Linked DNA regions of Arabidopsis thaliana. The main gene of each other region encodes a partner of the protein of the gene in region 3 in a complex. Each region holds a gene or a part of one and is shown on either strand. Other genes may lie near its edges.

What was found.
Region 1: PRPL28 (region 3) and EMB3126 share a complex: the UniProt entries of both Arabidopsis thaliana proteins name them as parts of the 50S ribosomal subunit.
Region 2: PRPL28 (region 3) and emb2394 share a complex: the UniProt entries of both Arabidopsis thaliana proteins name them as parts of the 50S ribosomal subunit.

What each region holds. Positions count from the first base shown.
Region 1 is NC_003074.8:23,440,864-23,446,657, reverse strand, and holds EMB3126 (Ribosomal protein L1p/L10e family), read right to left. Parts: upstream 2,456-5,794; 5' UTR 2,390-2,455; coding exon 2,060-2,389; intron 1,986-2,059; coding exon 1,806-1,985; intron 1,714-1,805; coding exon 1,659-1,713; exon of another isoform or gene 1,398-1,658; coding exon 1,270-1,397; intron 1,143-1,269; coding exon 1,059-1,142; intron 990-1,058; coding exon 864-989; intron 776-863; coding exon 638-775; 3' UTR 328-637; downstream 1-327. Other genes in the region: TTA2 (fibronectin type III domain protein (DUF1423)), read left to right, coding at 1-327; AT3G63480 (ATP binding microtubule motor family protein), read left to right, coding at 2,849-2,965, 3,055-3,157, 3,317-3,360, 3,467-3,496, 3,584-3,706, 3,789-3,814, 3,887-3,980, 4,057-4,098 and 7 more. UniProt on the Arabidopsis thaliana protein: This protein binds directly to 23S ribosomal RNA.
Region 2 is NC_003070.9:1,500,997-1,506,790, forward strand, and holds emb2394 (Ribosomal protein L6 family), read right to left. Parts: upstream 2,858-5,794; 5' UTR 2,743-2,857; coding exon 2,708-2,742; intron 2,266-2,707; coding exon 1,966-2,265; intron 1,856-1,965; coding exon 1,519-1,855; 3' UTR 1,255-1,518; downstream 1-1,254. Other genes in the region: AXR1 (NAD(P)-binding Rossmann-fold superfamily protein), read right to left, coding at 171-334, 429-601, 694-779; GLR3.4 (glutamate receptor 3.4), read left to right, coding at 4,646-4,997, 5,121-5,794. UniProt on the Arabidopsis thaliana protein: This protein binds directly to 23S ribosomal RNA and is located at the aminoacyl-tRNA binding site of the peptidyltransferase center.
Region 3 is NC_003071.7:14,171,160-14,176,449, reverse strand, and holds PRPL28 (Ribosomal L28 family), read right to left. Parts: upstream 2,872-5,290; 5' UTR 2,831-2,871; coding exon 2,632-2,830; intron 2,307-2,631; exon of another isoform or gene 2,303-2,306; coding exon 2,070-2,302; 3' UTR 1,861-2,069; downstream 1-1,860. Other genes in the region: RIC1 (ROP-interactive CRIB motif-containing protein 1), read left to right, coding at 889-946, 1,053-1,153, 1,243-1,321, 1,424-1,860; AT2G33435 (RNA-binding (RRM/RBD/RNP motifs) family protein), read right to left, coding at 3,224-3,818, 3,912-3,991, 4,085-4,174, 4,294-4,404, 4,626-4,715, 4,829-4,870.

The DNA.
Region 1 (5,794 bases), on a different chromosome or scaffold from region 3:
CGTTTCGAAGAGCTAGAGAGCATTGTGAGAATGAAGCAAGCAGAGGCAGAAATGTTCCAAGGGCGGGCCGATGATGCACGAAGAGAAGCAGAGGGACTGAAACGAATAGCAATAGCGAAGAAGGAGAAGATAGAAGAAGAGTACAATCGGAGAATGGGGAAGTTGAGTATGGAGGATGCACAGGAGAGAAGGAGGAGGAGGTACGAGGAGTTAGAGGCAATGCAGAGAGGGCAGAGAGAGTTTTATGAAATGAAGATGAGAATGGAGGAAGAGATGAGAGGGCTTCTCACCAAAATGGAAATGACGAAGCAGAGTCTGGCCTTGTAATATTTGTAGTAGTAAATCACATGTAATGTACACAGAAACCTCCTCCTCGTATGTAACCTAAAGATCAATGTAAGGTCTTTTCTTTTAGAGAGTACTAAAGAGTTCTGCGTCCTGACATGTACAGCCCCTTGCCAAATTTTAATAGGCAATAGTAAATAAATAACGACAAGAAGCAAATGGCCATCAAAGTGATACAAAGCAGTGAGGCGTGAAAAGATTACTAACAGACTAGACTTGGTGTTTCTCTTCTCTGTCTACACTGGCATTGCCCGTCTCCCAAAAGGACCCCATTTACAAATGGCGTTGTCGATTAGTTCGCAGTGGGAGGCTTGAAGTCTATCATCTCTCTTATGTTCAACTTGATGGAAGGCCCCATTGACGAGCATATGTGAGCGCTTTTCCAGTACACTCCTTTAGCTCCCTTTGGCTTGTTTGTCTCCACCGATTTCTGCATTTCATCATTTACTTTTCCCTCTTCATTTTTTTTTGTATTTTAAACCACAGAAATACGTAATAAGAATGGAGAATTAGCCTACCACTGCTGCAAGGAAGTTTATGAGAAGGTCTTCCTCTGTAAAATTAACTTTCCCAAATGGAATGTGAACAATCCCAGTTTTGTCTGCTCTGAATTCAACTTTCCCCTTCTTGAACTCTTCAATAGCCTGAGAGATTTATGCATCTTTAAGCCATGACTACCAGAATCAGGAAAAGATGTTGCAGAGTAGGCTTACCTGGGGAATGTTCGCTGTGACTGTACCAGCCTTGGGATTTGGCATGAGCCCCCGTGGTCCAAGAATCTTTCCCAGGCCAGCAACCTAAGCGCCAAGTTCAAGAATGTTAGAAAATAGATCACGAGTTACAAGTATCTCATGCCACCTTATTTGCCAAGCATGACGGTTTCATATGCTGTAACAAGTAGAACATTATATCATCAACACATACCTTGACCATCATATCCGGGGATGCAATCAGCTTGTCAAACTCCATGAAGCCTCCTTTAATCTGTTCGATTAAATCATCACTGCCCACAATATCTGCCCCTGCACTTTTGGCTTCATCAACCTTCTCACCTGGAAGTTCAGCATGGAAATGGTGCAAGCCAAAGATTTAGAAAGAATAAGCCACATGATACACAAGAACTCCATCCAATCAATATATAAATAAAAAGTCAATCGCACCAAACAATGTTGCATCTAGAGAAGTACTGACTGACTGACTGATACCGTAAACATTATCTCTGTCCTAAGTCCTAACAGTGAATTTGGTGACTGAAATGGTAAAGCATAATCTCTGTCCTAAGTCCTAGCAGTGAATTTGGTGGGGCAATATACCTTGTGCAAGAACAGCGACTATAACAGTCTGGCCAGTTCCCTTAGGCAGGCTCACCTATACAAAAAGACAATGCATTGAGATTAAAAAATGTTGTGGAATGAAGCAGCACAAGATAGAGTGTATATCCAGCAAAAGGCAAAGCAGACCGTTGCACGCAGCTGCTGGTCATTGTACTTAGGATCGATGTTGAGACGGAAATGGGCTTCAACAGACTCAACAAACCTTGTGTTGGCAGTTTGTTTAAGCAAAGAGATAGCAGTGTTGACATCATACTCCTTTTTGGTTTCCCTTAGCTTTTGGATTTCCAAAAACCTCTTAGACCTTGTCTGTCAATGGGTAAGCAAACAAAGTGATGATTCACGAGTAAAGGAAGCGAAATTGAAGTAGGTAAAGCACATACTCTATCTCTCTTGAGAACCAAAGCGGCTTTTCCTTTCTTAGGCTTGGGCGGATCAAGGACGGCGGTGGCGGTCTGCTCCAGGTCCTCCTCCGTGTCGAGGTCAGCCTCAGCGGCCACGGCGGAGACAATAAACTTGTGGTTGGAAGCTCTGTCAATAGCAGCACATCTCCGGTCCCTGGAACCCCCAAGGAGAAGAAGCGGGAAGCTCAAGTGGTTGGGTCTGGAGCTGGCAAAAGAGAAAAGAGATGGAGTAGGGGTAAGGTCCTGGGAACGAGTGGATGCGGCGGCGTATGCTAGCATGAGAGAGGAGTGAGTAGCGCAAGCAGCCATTGTTGGAGCTCTCTTTCTTTCTGGGTACAAAGAAGAAGAAGAAGAGTGCGAGTCTCCCTAATCCACTCCACGCCCAAGGGGATAACAACACCCCCTATTCTTTCTAAGCTATTATTCTCTGCGTGGCGGGCACCTTAGCTACCGTGTTCCTAGTGACACGTGTCTTCTTATGGACCATTAGATCTTTTAACAACCCACACGCGTATCCTCGTGACCTCTTCTCCTTCTCCTTCTTCTTCTTCCTTCTCTTTTCTCAAAAATCAGATTTCGAGTTTCTTCTTTCCCGCCCGTAAGAGAAACCCTACTCTGACTCTCCACTCCATTTGAGAGGTAAGTTCCGATTCCTTTTCTCTCAGCTTCAAATTTCCTGTGCTACTATTTCCCCAATTTCATTCATCTTCTGCTGACTCATTTTGGGTGTTTCACTGTAGACTGAGCTCGTTCCGATAAGGAGAGGAGATGTCTAACGTAACCGTCTGTGCGCGATTCAGGCCGCGAAGCTCTAAAGAGATGCGCGATCCCAGCAGAGATGGTGTCTGTGCTCGACCCATCGACGCTGAAACCTTCGTTTTCCAAGTTTGTCTACTCGACGCCGTGTGCTTGATTAATATTGTCTCTCTCTCTCTGTCTCTCAAACTCTATCTAGCGTTTTTACTTGCGTGTAGGATGACAAGGAAGATGAATTTACATTTAGCCTCGATAGAGTTTTTTATGAGGACTCTACCCAAGCTGCGGTTTATGAGTTTCTGGCTCTCCCCATCATGAGAGGTACTAATTGATTCCTTGATCTTCTCTTCTGGATTTTAGATCTAAACATTTGAGCACCAATCTTATGATTTTACAATGTAATCAACATTTTTGGTTTTGGTTTCCTCCTACCTTTGTCTTTTGCATCTTTTACCTTTGTACTACTACTACTACTTTCAGACGCTGTAAATGGTATAAACGGAACAATCATCACTTATGGACAGGTTTGTTCTTCTCCTGATCTCTTTTATCTGGAAATGCTTTCAATGTCTTTTTCTTAATTTGGCAGATTTTGATCTCAATTTGATCGTTTCATGTTATACTATGCAGACAGGGGCTGGGAAGACTTATTCCATGGAGGTCACCTAACTCATCTTGATACCTCTTCCTGTAGCACAAGGACCATTCCTTCTTCTGGCTCATTTTGGTTTTCTTCGATTGATTCAGGGACCAGGCATCCAGGACTGTGATGAGCACAATAAAGGACTTCTTCCAAGAGTGGTCCATGGGATGTTTGAGCAAATCAGCTCTTCCAATGATATTGCAAGATACACTGTTAAATTGTCTATGGTACTGACTTAAATGCACTTGCTATAAGTCTCCTTTCAAGCTCTCCTGTATAGACATCTTACGTGTCTTTTGTCTCCTCTAGGTTGAGATCTACATGGAGAAAGTCAGGTATTGTGTATGTAATTCCCTCTGATTTCTTCTAGGGTATATAGCTTATCGATAAATTCATATATCTCTCAGGGACCTGTTGGACTTATCAAAAGCAAACATACAGATCAAGGAGAACAAAACACAAGGAATACTCTTGTCAGGCGTTACAGAGGCTAGCTTCATTGTCTTATATCTTCTATTTGCTAGTGTTGAGAAAAATCTTTACTGGGTAGGCAAGTTTTAATCATTCGTTGCTTCAGGTGCCTGTATCAGATTCGGTGGAGGCATTACAACATCTATGCGTAAGATAGCAGCTACCCTAAGTTTCTTAATTGCCTTATACGGCCTTCTTCTTTCTTATTTCTGATGCCAATTGCCATTTCAGACCGGTTTAGCTAACCGCGCAGTTGGGGAAACCCGTATCCTCTTAGCTTTTACAGCACTTACTTGTTCAATGTTTCCCCATTTAGTCGATAGTGAGATTATGATTATGCTACTCCGAGTTGACTGAAAGGTTAAAACTGATTGAGAGTCATCTTGAAGAATGTTTCCAGTTTAACAATGAATGACAGAAATGAATATGTCCAGCAGTAGAAGCCACTGCGCCTACTTGTTCACAATCCAGCAGGATTCAGTTAAAGATAAAAGGTAACGATTTTTTACAATTAATCAGAAAAAAGTGATGCTGTAGTGGTGGAGCTTATATACATATCTGGCATGTGAACAGGGTAAAAACAGGAAAACTGATTCTTGTCGACCTGGCTGGCTCAGAGAAAGCAGACAAAACTGGAGCAGAAGGTAGGGTTCTTGAAGAAGCGAAGACGATCAATAAATCGCTCTCAGCCTTGGGGAACGTGATAAACGCTCTCACTAGTGGGCCATCTAGCAAAGGGAATCACATACCATATCGTGACTCCAAGCTTACTCGCATCTTACAGGATGCCCTGGTTAGTATATCTTCTCAGGTTGATTTTATTTTATAATTTTCTAGCTTGTTCTCAATTCTATTGTGGTCTCTCATGCCACAGGGTGGAAATTCTCGAATGGCGCTGCTTTGCTGTTGCTCACCAAGCACTTTAAATGCATCTGAGACGCTCTCAACTCTCAGGTTTGGCATGAGGTATGCATCTCAGAGCACAGTAACGGTTTCTTGCTCCATGTGTTACGTTATTGAACGTGTTTAAGAGAGATGTTTGCTTCCATTTACTGTACAGGGCAAAACACATAAAAGCATCACCACGTGCTAGTGAAGTGAAATCTGCGAAGGCACAGGAGGAACCCTCCTCGGTTACCAAAGATGAAAAATGTGGGAGGATCCTAGAAAAGGTTAAGACTCTACGTCAGCCATTTCCTCATTCTCTCTAATATTCAGAAAACGGGATGTAGAAGATACATTTGCATTATTGTTATTTTATACAGATGAAAGAGAGGATGAGCAACGAAGACATCAAAATGCTAGAAGATGTGTTTATACAGGAAGGGATCATTTTCAGCCTAGATTCGATGGCTGAAGTGGAAACCGTATACGAAGATATTGTATCAAAAACTATACAATCCTTACAGCAGGCTGTTGATGAACTCCAACAGAAAGTCAAAAAGGTAAACTAGTGTATGTATAATTAGAGAGTGAGGGTGGGCATGGTCAATGATGCAAGCTGTCCTGTTATTTCCTCTTTGCAGTTAGAAGCAGAAAACATAGGTATTCAGGAACAAGCATTGCGCAATCACGAACCTGGTTCGGTCGGAAAGATGTCAAGGTTCATCAGTTCTTGGTATGCATCGTTCTTTACGTCCTAAAGATGATAAAATGAATATACTATCTTGGTAATGTAGAAGATGTGGACAAGTAGATGGTAAAGAGATAAGTTTCTCTTTTTAGGTCGTGAGAGCAAAACAGATATTAACATTCAAAGGTATGTAATGAAATAGTAGATAAAAAATGGATGGGAGGATGAATAAAAGCTAATTAAGAGAGAAATTACAATCTCAGATAGAATA
Region 2 (5,794 bases), on a different chromosome or scaffold from region 3:
ATATCCCGTGAAGAGGACGAGGAAAAGTACATATGAGAAACTAACTAAAGAACATTGAATAGAAGGTATCATGATCCATGGTGAGTGACTGTGTAAGCAAAGATTAGAACTTTGAAAAATTGTAACACACAAATCATTAGAGAAGATTACAAATAGAAAAACAATGGTACCTGAGTGGCTATAACGAGAGTGAACTGAGAGAAGAAAGATGGGTTAGTAGTAATCAACGTGTCTGGATTCTCCTCAATAAACTTGGCGTTAACAGAATCATTAAGCTCTTGGAGAAACGCACAAACAGATTTGGCTTTTGATTGGCCAACACTCTTCGCATCGACTTCACATGAAAAAAAAAAATCATCATAACGCAAGCAAGTCCCCCAAAACCCCCAGAAGAAACACAATCAAAAAGTTTCAAAATTAGTCAGTACCCATGAAATTGTTCCCAAGGTCACCAAATTGAACCTTAGATCCATCAACAACGGTGATGCTACCAACACCACCAAGTACGAGATTCTTCAAAGCCTCGGAACCAGTAGGGCCACAATTGAGTAAACAGATACTCGCTTCTTCCAAGGCCGCTTGACCTACCTCCCCCCAAATCCTAATCAGTCAACCCAACGATTACTACTTCATCAATTTTCCTCCCGACAAGAGTAGTTCGAAGTAGAGTTTAAGGAAAAAGAGTATGTATACCTGAGCTGACGATCGTACTTGGTTTTAGGTTCTACCATTGTTGGCTCTTCTTCAACATGTCTCCTGGATCTTTTTACTGCTTGCATCTTCGCAGCTCAAGCGAGAGACGATTTTTGCCTCCGGTGAACTGATAAACAAAAAGACTTTTCTTCAATCAGGGTTTTTGTTTATTTCCGAATATTTTATTGTTTTTAGGAAATTTATCGTTTGAAAAAAGTTATCTACCAAATTAAAAAATCGATATTAATATCTTACTGATTTTTTATATATATAAGCAAATAAGAAAATTTTGTAAATATTTTTTTTAAAAAAAAATTGTGAAAAAGAAGAAGATATAAGCAAATAAGAATAATCACCATGATATTGTTTTTTGTTTTATTTCCGACTATTATTATTCTTATAGGAAATTTTCGTTTTTTAAAAAGTTATCTACCAAATTAAGAATACAGATATTAATATCTTACTGTTACGATTTTTTAGATATAAGAAAATAAGAAAATTTGTAATTAAAAAAAAGAAGAATAGATTAAAAAATTGTTTTAAAAAGTTTATCTACCATGATTTTTGTCCGATTTGGATTGGTTTGGTTCAATAAGGAAACATAACAATAGAATCACACCGATGAGGCACTTTGTGCCCAAGTTCTTGTTCAATCAAAGCACTAAAGAAATTTTTGTCAGAGCATCAAAAACAATTAATGGGTTCCTTTAAAAACTTACTCAAGAATCCCAACACAAACATCTTCATTTCTAAACAAATTTGAGCAAATACACATAAACATTGAAAGGAAGAGATAAGTAAGTAGATAATAATGAAAAATGAAGATCATTTCTTCTTTCCAGCTTTTCCTTCCTTCCTCCGAACTATCTCATCGGAATACTTGACTCCTTTCCCCTTGTATGGCTCTGGTGGCCTCCACTTCCTAACCGTTGCAGCAAACTGCCCGATTTCGCTCTTGTCGTATCCACTCACAGTGATTCTTGTGTTCTCTTCCACTTTCACTTTCAGACTATCCGGTATCTGCATCTTCACCGGGTGTGAAAACCCGAGATTTAGCACCAGCTCCTTTCCGTCTACTGTTGCACGATAACCAACACCCACAAGTATAAGCTTTTTCTCAAATCCCTTTGATACTCCCACAACCATGTTATCGGTAAGCGTCCTAAAAGTCACACAGAAGTTAAAAAAAAAGATTAGAGAACAAACGATCTTTTAACCTCAAAAAAGTTAAGGACTTCATTGGATGACAAGAAAAGATGAGAAGTTTGTAACCTGAAAAGGCCGTGCATTTGGTTGGCTCTTCTAGTTTCGACGGTTTTTTTGACCCTTAAGAAACCGGATTCTTCCTTTGTAAGCTCAACTTCGCGTGGGTAAGTTAAAGCCAGCTCTCCTAATGGACCCTTCACTTTCAAGTCTTGACCTTCCAATGCAATGGTTACATTGGAAGGTACAGCGATCGGTTGCTTTCCTATCCTTGATTCTTTGCACTCAATGGTCTTACTGGAGTAACCCACTTGAGCAAAAGGTGTGCTTGAGACCTTGAACACATTTCTATCTCCCAAAAATGCTGACCTAAAACAAAGGGGAAGTTATCTATCTATCTTCAGATAAAACATGTCAAGAAAGTAAAACTCTACCAGATATATATCTAAACCAATACACAGAAACTGTTATTGGAACAAAGATAACGTTAGATTAAGGAAGAGAAACATTCTTGTAGAACTTTCAGTTTCCATGGCTAAAAACCCCTCTAGAATCCTGCTTTTTACACAGTGAGTTCCGCATAACACATTCAAATTCCCAAAATAAAAATCCACAATTTCAAGAGTCCATAACCAATTCAACATTGCCATCGATTTAAAAAGATAAAAATAACCCATTCAAAGAGATTCCTTATACTTGGGAGGCTCATGAACACAGTTTATAGAGATTTTTGAGTAGAAAATGCCAAGTAAAGAAAACGAAACCCTAGCGGAATGAAGAAGCTCTATGGTTTGTAGTATATGAAAAGTACCTGGGTTGAAAAGATGAGACGAGTGAGGAAGCCATTGATAAGATTTGATGATGGAGCTCTAAGCTCTGCTCCAGAAGGAGGATGAAGAGAAGAAGAAGAGCGTTTTATCCAGAAAAGACTTATCCATCGTCAGCTTCTGTAATCCCCTCTTTCAAATCATTACTTTCACGGCCCATTAGCTCACTATTTTCGGCCCATTACTTTTAACCATCCTTCTGTGGGACAATTCATTATTTGTGTAACCCATTTATCTATATTGATCATGGCCTATTATCTCACTGTTTCTAGGCCCATTATTATAATAACTGTTCACAAAATTTACCCAATGAACGTGGAGTTTGGATTAGATTAATGAAGTCAATAGATTATTAGTAGATGCGTTTGGATCAAAATTGTGCATCTTTCCCGATTAAGTATGTTTTCAAGTCGAATCTTTTAAAGGCATGGATTTTAAACTACTCTTAACAGACAAATTTAAAAATGAAATGGGCCCTTACCCTCAGAAAAATCCAAACAACAAATTGAGAAGATTCAAAGAAAAAAAAGATGAACTGTATATTTATTTTCCTGGTTCACATTTCATTTGGTCAAGATATTCTTGTTCTAAATAAATAAAAAGTTCGATACCGACAAGATATTTGTGGATTCAGTGGCATATTTTATTTTGTGTTAACAATTAACAAATGAAAATTTCAATAAGGAACTATGTAATAACAAATGCAGCTCTTATAAGTTTTTTTTAATAACATTCCTTAATGAACACTCTAAAGACAAAAAATAGTCGACCATGTGTTTCATGCACCTTTTATCATATGAAATCAATAGTACAATTACTTTACTATTTATGTCTGAAAATATCTTTTTCTTTTCTTTTTTTTTTGTGTGAAATTGATTTGACAACCGTTGAGGAGACTTATTCTTTGACGAAGGCGGCCTTGGAGCAATTAGGTCGTCACTCCTCACATTCACATTTTCAATTATTATTTTGCCTCATGTCATACGTAGTTACCCTAATTACCATTTAACTATATCCGTTGTAACCAAAAAGAAAAATGCATCAACTACCTTAATAAATGATAGTTACCAATAAGAGCCAACGTAAAAATTTGATTTATCGAATAGTATGAGGACACAAGTAAAGCATCGATCATACTACCCCACACCTTGGCCTACGTCTTCACTGACCACTCCAGAAATAGCACTCCAAAACAAAATTTACAAAATTTCATAAAATACCAAAAAAATAAGTAATGATAAGGAAGAAAATAGGGAAAAAAAAGGAGAGAGAATATTATGAATTATTCTTTGCTTGAGCTCAGAAACAGTTCTTCTTCTGCTTCTTCGACTTCTTTTCTCTGTCTTTCTTCTTTATGCTTAGTGCTAAATCACTCGTTTACTTGTGAAGATTATGGATCTCTGATTAAAGTTTGTTTCTCGTATTTATTCCAAGGTTGCTTCTTCTTTTTCTCAATTGGATCTTTTAATTTTTGTTTTTCTTTATGTTCTTACATATATAATCTTTAGTTATTTGTTCATTGAATTATTTATTACACTTTTTGCTTCTTTCTCTGCGAACCATCTTTAAGACGGCCCTCTTACACTTCATTATTTTCAGTTCTTACTTGCACATGTAAAGCACCAGTTTCTAGAATCAAAGGGCCTCATATAAATACATTATTTTATACACTATAAATAAATATACAGACACAAAAATCTGTATACACCAATCTCTCTACAGAATCTAACTCCCGATTTCTTGGTTGGTTTTGCCTTCTTTCACCAGATTTCTGGACCATCTTTTTTGTCTTTTGTTATAATCTCAATTTTGATTCAGGTTGGGCATTGTTTATTTCGCAGGTGTTACTCCAAATAAATCAAATGGTTATATGAGACCAGGACAAAGAAAAACTAGTGCTTTTGCTGGAAATTGTGATAAAGATGGGATTTTTGGTGATGATAAGAGAAGTTTCCATGGCGAAAGCAATCAGAGTTGTGTTGTTATGTGTTTCTGTCTTGTGGGTTGTTCCAAAGGAATGTGCTTGTAGAAGTAATTTCTCTAGAAACTCGTCTTCTTCTTCTTCTTCTTCTTTGCGGCCATTAAGACAGAGGCCAAGCTCTGTGAATGTTGGAGCTCTGTTTACTTATGATTCTTTTATCGGAAGAGCGGCTAAACCCGCGGTTAAAGCAGCTATGGATGATGTTAATGCTGACCAAAGTGTTCTTAAGGGCATCAAGCTTAATATCATCTTTCAAGACTCAAATTGCAGTGGATTTATCGGCACCATGGGAGGTATATATACTGCTTCTCCTTCTTCTTCTCTCTTACTACTGTGGCCAACTTTTTAACTCAGAACTAGTTTGTGAAAATGCCCCCAAAGAATGAGTGATGATTATGTTTCATCTTATGGTGTAGCTTTGCAGCTGATGGAAAACAAAGTGGTTGCAGCCATTGGTCCACAATCTTCAGGGATTGCTCACATGATCTCCTATGTAGCTAATGAGCTTCATGTACCTCTCTTGTCATTTGGAGCAACGGATCCGACTCTCTCCTCTCTGCAATTTCCTTATTTCCTCCGCACCACGCAGAATGATTACTTCCAAATGCATGCGATCGCAGATTTTCTATCATATTCCGGATGGAGACAAGTCATTGCGATATTCGTTGATGATGAGTGTGGCAGGAACGGGATATCTGTCCTTGGCGATGTATTAGCCAAGAAACGCTCGAGGATCTCTTACAAGGCTGCAATTACTCCTGGTGCAGATTCTAGCTCCATCAGAGACTTGTTGGTTTCTGTTAATCTGATGGAATCTCGGGTTTTTGTTGTCCATGTGAATCCTGACTCTGGTTTAAACGTTTTTTCTGTGGCTAAATCTCTTGGAATGATGGCAAGTGGTTATGTTTGGATCGCAACAGACTGGCTTCCTACAGCTATGGATTCCATGGAGCACGTGGATTCAGACACGATGGATCTCTTGCAAGGAGTGGTTGCTTTTCGCCACTACACAATCGAGAGTAGTGTCAAAAGACAGTTTATGGCGAGATGGAAGAATCTTAGACCAAATGATGGCTTTAACTCTTATGCG
Region 3 (5,290 bases):
AACATACGAATCAATCTTATCAACTCTTCTTGTTAATGTTTGTTATGAAAACTTGAATCTTTCTTTTCATAATCTAAGAAATTTATTTTCAAAATATTTCACATAACATAATAATGTTTAACTTGTTAAAAAATAATGTAAAGTCTTTAAGATAGTAAATCTCATGCTTCAAAGTTCAAACCATTTTGCTTACTATTGCAAAATCTCTCAATTATTATCTTAGTATTCAGATATCACATTTTTCAGTATTTGCAATCTATGCAATTTCTCTAAATAATACTTTATACTATCTTAGATTTCATTAGAGTATGTTTATTAGTAAAATAAGAAATTGGTGTGGTCGTGTCTCCTTCCATTCGACCCGGAAAATCCTCTTGACAACTTGTTTCCCAAAGGAGGGTTCCCTTTGATAATAGCTCTACGTTGCCTCCATTACCAATCAACAATCTAATTATAAAATTATCTGTTAATTACAACTATGAAAATATTTCTTTCTTTTCTAAATTTTTTTATCCTCTGTTAAAACAACAACAAAACTTAGTGCTCTTCCTCTTCTTCTTTTTGGTCTGTTGATCTTTAACCAATAACTCCTCGGAGATCTCTCGATCCTTCTCTCTCTCCCTCCCTCCCTCTCTCTCTCTCTTCAAAACATTTCAACATTTTTTTTTCTCGTCAAGAGAAAATCCATGCGTTCAAGGTTTAAGTCTTCAGATTTCGTTATATTCTCTGTTGTTTTTTTGTTTGTGCCTTACAACTTTTTTCTTGATTTGTTCTTCGTTTTCTTTTTCTGCATGTTAGGTTTACGGTAACGATCGTCAAATCTTGAACCACAAAGGTTGTATCCGGCGTGTGGATACACATTAGCCGGAACCAACCCTTTATAGACCAATGGCGACGACAATGAAGGGTCTTCTTAAGGGCCTTCGTTACATTACTCAGATTTTTGGTGAGTCTCATTCATTTTCCCCATAAACATGAAAAAAATGAAAAATCATTTGTGTTTCTTGTGTCAAAAGTCAAATTACATGGTGGATGTAATTATTCTATTGCAGATGAAGAGAAAGAGCAGGAGATGCAGATAGGATTTCCGACCGATGTAAAGCATGTTGCCCACATTGGCTCCGACGGTCCAACCAACACCACACCAAGCTGGGTAAGATCATACGTACATTTATACGTATTTTCATACATGTCACACGTATCTGTGCTCATTATTGTTTTTTTATGGGACAAAAACTGCAGATGAATGACTTTAAAACTCAAGAACATGAGAAAGGTCAAGTCGTTTCCAGGGGAAATTCCAACAAATACAACCCGCAAGGTTAGTTATTTTTGCAAAGTGTGTTTTTCCTTTTCCCTTAAAGTGTTAAGCTTTGAGGAACAAATCTGGATTGGTTCGAGGAATTGATGTGTATCTCAATAGGGACGAACCAACGTGGAGCCGGGCTAAAAGAGTTACTGCCTTCGAACACAAACGAGAAACCGAAACAGAAAACAAGGCGGAAACCCGGAGGAGCAGCTTCTCCAAATCATAACGGGTCTCCGCCTAGAAAAAGTAGCGGAAATGCTGCATCATCAGATGAACCATCAAAGCATTCAAGACATAACCGAAGCGCACACGGGTCAACAGACTCATCGAATGATCAAGAACCATCAGTTCGCAGAAGGCGTGGTGGTATCCCGGCTCCAGACACAGAAGTTCCTAATCAAATACCTGATGGTTCAGCTCCTCCACGGAAGGCTACATCGCGTCCTAGGAAACTAAAAGGATCATCAGCAGGAGGAGAAGGTTCGATTAAGAAGTCTTCAAAAGGAAAACCCGAGAATTCAGTTGATACAACCTGTAACGATATTATCTGAGAAACATAAACAAAACCATGAAATGTATTATTTGAGCCACCTGCAAGTGAGAGTTTGTTTTCGTTTCTCTTTAAAGTCTTTTCTTGACAGTGTCTGATACAACAACTCAGAGATTCCATTGATACTTACCAAAATCTAGAAAGGAAATGTACGAGTACTGCAAAAGGAGAAGCAAGAAATGTATATAATAAACTTTGCGATCATCATATCTATTTCTTGCGAAGATCAATGCCGGCTTTCTTGGCAACAGCGTCGAGTCCGTTCTTCTCAATGGTCTTCAAAGCCTTAGTTGATAAACGAAGTTTGACAAAACGTTTGCCAGCTTCCCACCAAACTCTCTTGTATTGTAAGTTGACGAATTGCAACTTCTTGGTCTTGTGGTTAGAGAATGAAACTTTGTTTGCTCTGTTTGCTTTCTTCCCAGTAAAAGGGCAGATTCTACCTGACATTTTGGAAAACAAAAACACAGTTTCAAGAAAAAAGGAGCAAATTGCCCAATGCTCAGAATCATATAAATGTGGTCAATTTTGGAGAATTTTTTTAACATAACATCAAATTCAAAGGAAAAGTTTAATACGAGAAATTATGCTACGGGTTTTAAATACACTGCTCATTTTCATATCTAAAAGCAAAGACATAGTTCCAGACAATTCAACACAAGCTTGCTAACTCAGAGATTCGAAATTCGACATGAATAAAACGAAAGCAAGATAAATTTAGTACGCCAATGCATTCGACTAAACCCTAAGAGAAAGGGAAAAGGGGAATTACGTGCGACGATTGGCTGAATCCCGGGGAACGAAGGAAGGGAGATACGGTTGATGACGTCACTGGGAGTATATGAGATTCTTAAGCCGCTGAGCTGGGAGGTGAGGAATCCAAGCTCCTTTGAAGTCACGGTTGACTTGGTCATGGACTTGGCTGATGAGGTCATTCGTAGCCAAGCGCCTTGTGTCGCCATTGTCGTCATTTTTGGTTGCTGTTACTTCTGCTTCGAAGGAGGATTTGGATAAAGAAGGAGATTGGGTTCATTTTATTTATTATTTTGTAGAAAATGAAAGACGCTTTCTCATTCAGAAGGTTACGTTCTCTTTTAACACAACAATTTTTCAGTAAGCAAACCGGTCCATATAGCCACCAACACAATAGTATGGTTTCATCTTTCCCTTCTTGGATTCTCTAATACATAAAAGTAACGAGACACAGGTGGTGATGAATAATCCAACCTGATCAATCCCAACGATTACAAAGAGATTTTTGAAGGGTTTTTGATTGTAGATGCTATGTATCTCTGAACTCGGTTTGAACCGGTTATGTGGTAAAGATGAGAAGAATCACAGAGTCTCACTTGTTGTGGGATTATTTACCCACTTGGGAACCGGATTTGGTAAAGCTCTTTAGAAACATATTCTGCTTTCACAATCCGGTTATCATATAGCCTTCCGTGTAAAGAATGGGCTGCATCACATGTCGCTTCTGGTCTTCTGTACTCAATGAAGATACAACCCGTCTCAAATACATCCTCGGGGTCTTCTTCTTGTTCTTCTTCTATCTTGTCGCCAGCATCCCATCTTGTCTTCACGGTACGCACTGATGCTACTTCTTGTGGATTCTCTGCCTCGGCCTGCGCACTTTCTTCAACAATCTTTTCACAATGCTCTTGTTCAGTGGAGTGTAGATCTTCATTTTCTTGAGTGCTTGTTTCAGCAGCAGTATCCGAGCACGGTTCACATAACTTGTCTTCACCTGTCAAACTGTCTGGCATGACAACCTCTGCAAGATCTACATTGTCTGCAATATCTTCCGCTTTCTCGGATCCTTCATCTTTCTCCTCGATCACTGACACATTCATTTCTTTAGAATCAGTTGATTCTAAGTTCAACAATGGATTTGTTTCAGAAACAGTGATATCTTTGCTCTTGTGTTCCAAGATGTTTATCGACTTAATAACCCCAAACCTGCATCATGACAAGACCCAGAGGCCTATTTTCTTAATTTACTAGCTTTTAAAAGCTCAATGGACTCATGGGAAGATGATCTCAGAGCTTAACCTGGCACATTCTAACCGTACATCCTCCAAAATTTCTTTCACTTCTTGCTCGGAAAACGACGTGAGATCTTCTGGGTCAACCTGTCAAACAAGAAAGAATGGAATGTTAATATAGCCTCACATAGTTTATTTGGGAAAGATTCACAAGAAAAAGGATACACCAATTATGCTTACCACATTTTTTAGCTTTAGAATATTCTTAGGCTTGCCAAGAAGTGGTTTTGCATGGCTAGGTATCCCATAGAATGGTGGATTCTCATTCACCTGCAACACATATTACGTACACACACCACTCTCACAAGTAACTAAAGGAATTTCTGTTCAATGTCACCCATACAAACACAACATGAACTAACGAAAGCAAAGTTGGGTCACTGAATTACCGCTACGGATGATGCATCAGGAAATGCACAAACGGCTGTTATTACACTGCCACCTAACCTCATACCATTTAGACCAGCACAAGCTTTGAGGGTAACAGATCCATCAGTGTACTGAAATATAGAGATTTAAAAAGAGTTAGGGCTGGTTAATATGAATATACTTGGAACTACAGTCACATTCATGGTTACTCTGTAAAAGTTACAAGGTAATAACACCTTCCCATGCTACCCGGAAAATGAAAAATTAAAGATATGAAACAATCACAAGAACTACATCGAGATGGCAGACTAAGATGGGGGTATCTTGGCCACAAATAAAAGTACATTCTAACCTCTAGGAAAGCGCATCGCTGATTGAGATCATTGTTGCTCACGAACCGGTATGCTTTCAAAGGTCCAAAGACGCTGACAATCTCCATAAGCTGGAAAAACGTTAAAGAGGAATCAGACAATCCTAGAAGTTGAAACGATAGAAATGGGGACAATAGAAGATTGAACGTGTCAAATGTTTTCAAAGAATTACAGTTCAGCATACCATTTCAGATGAAATAGCTTTTGAAAATCCGCCAATGAAGATCTGCAACAAGTACACTAGGCTCAATATCAAGCTTGACAGAAAAAGAAATTAGTATAGCAAGCAAATACAGTGAAGCTTTCAACATTATCAACCACAAAGATGCCGTAGCTGCGGAGAGAACTGCACTTCTATTCTCTGCGTGTTTTTCACTTTAAGATTATAATAAGGTGGTCTGACATTTGGCTTTCCAGGTTGAACCACTATGAACAAGCTTTTGATCATAACACCTACTACCAGCCAAACTTACAAAAAAGTTGATCCAGCCACATGTTTTATTCCTTTGTTGTTAACTCTAACAAAATTGATATTCTACTGACAGACAATTAAACGGAAAAGGATATAAAAGCTGTCAGCATGAAAAACATGCAACAAAATTCCAAGATATGCCCCACATCATGAACCATGAATGGAAAGGACCAA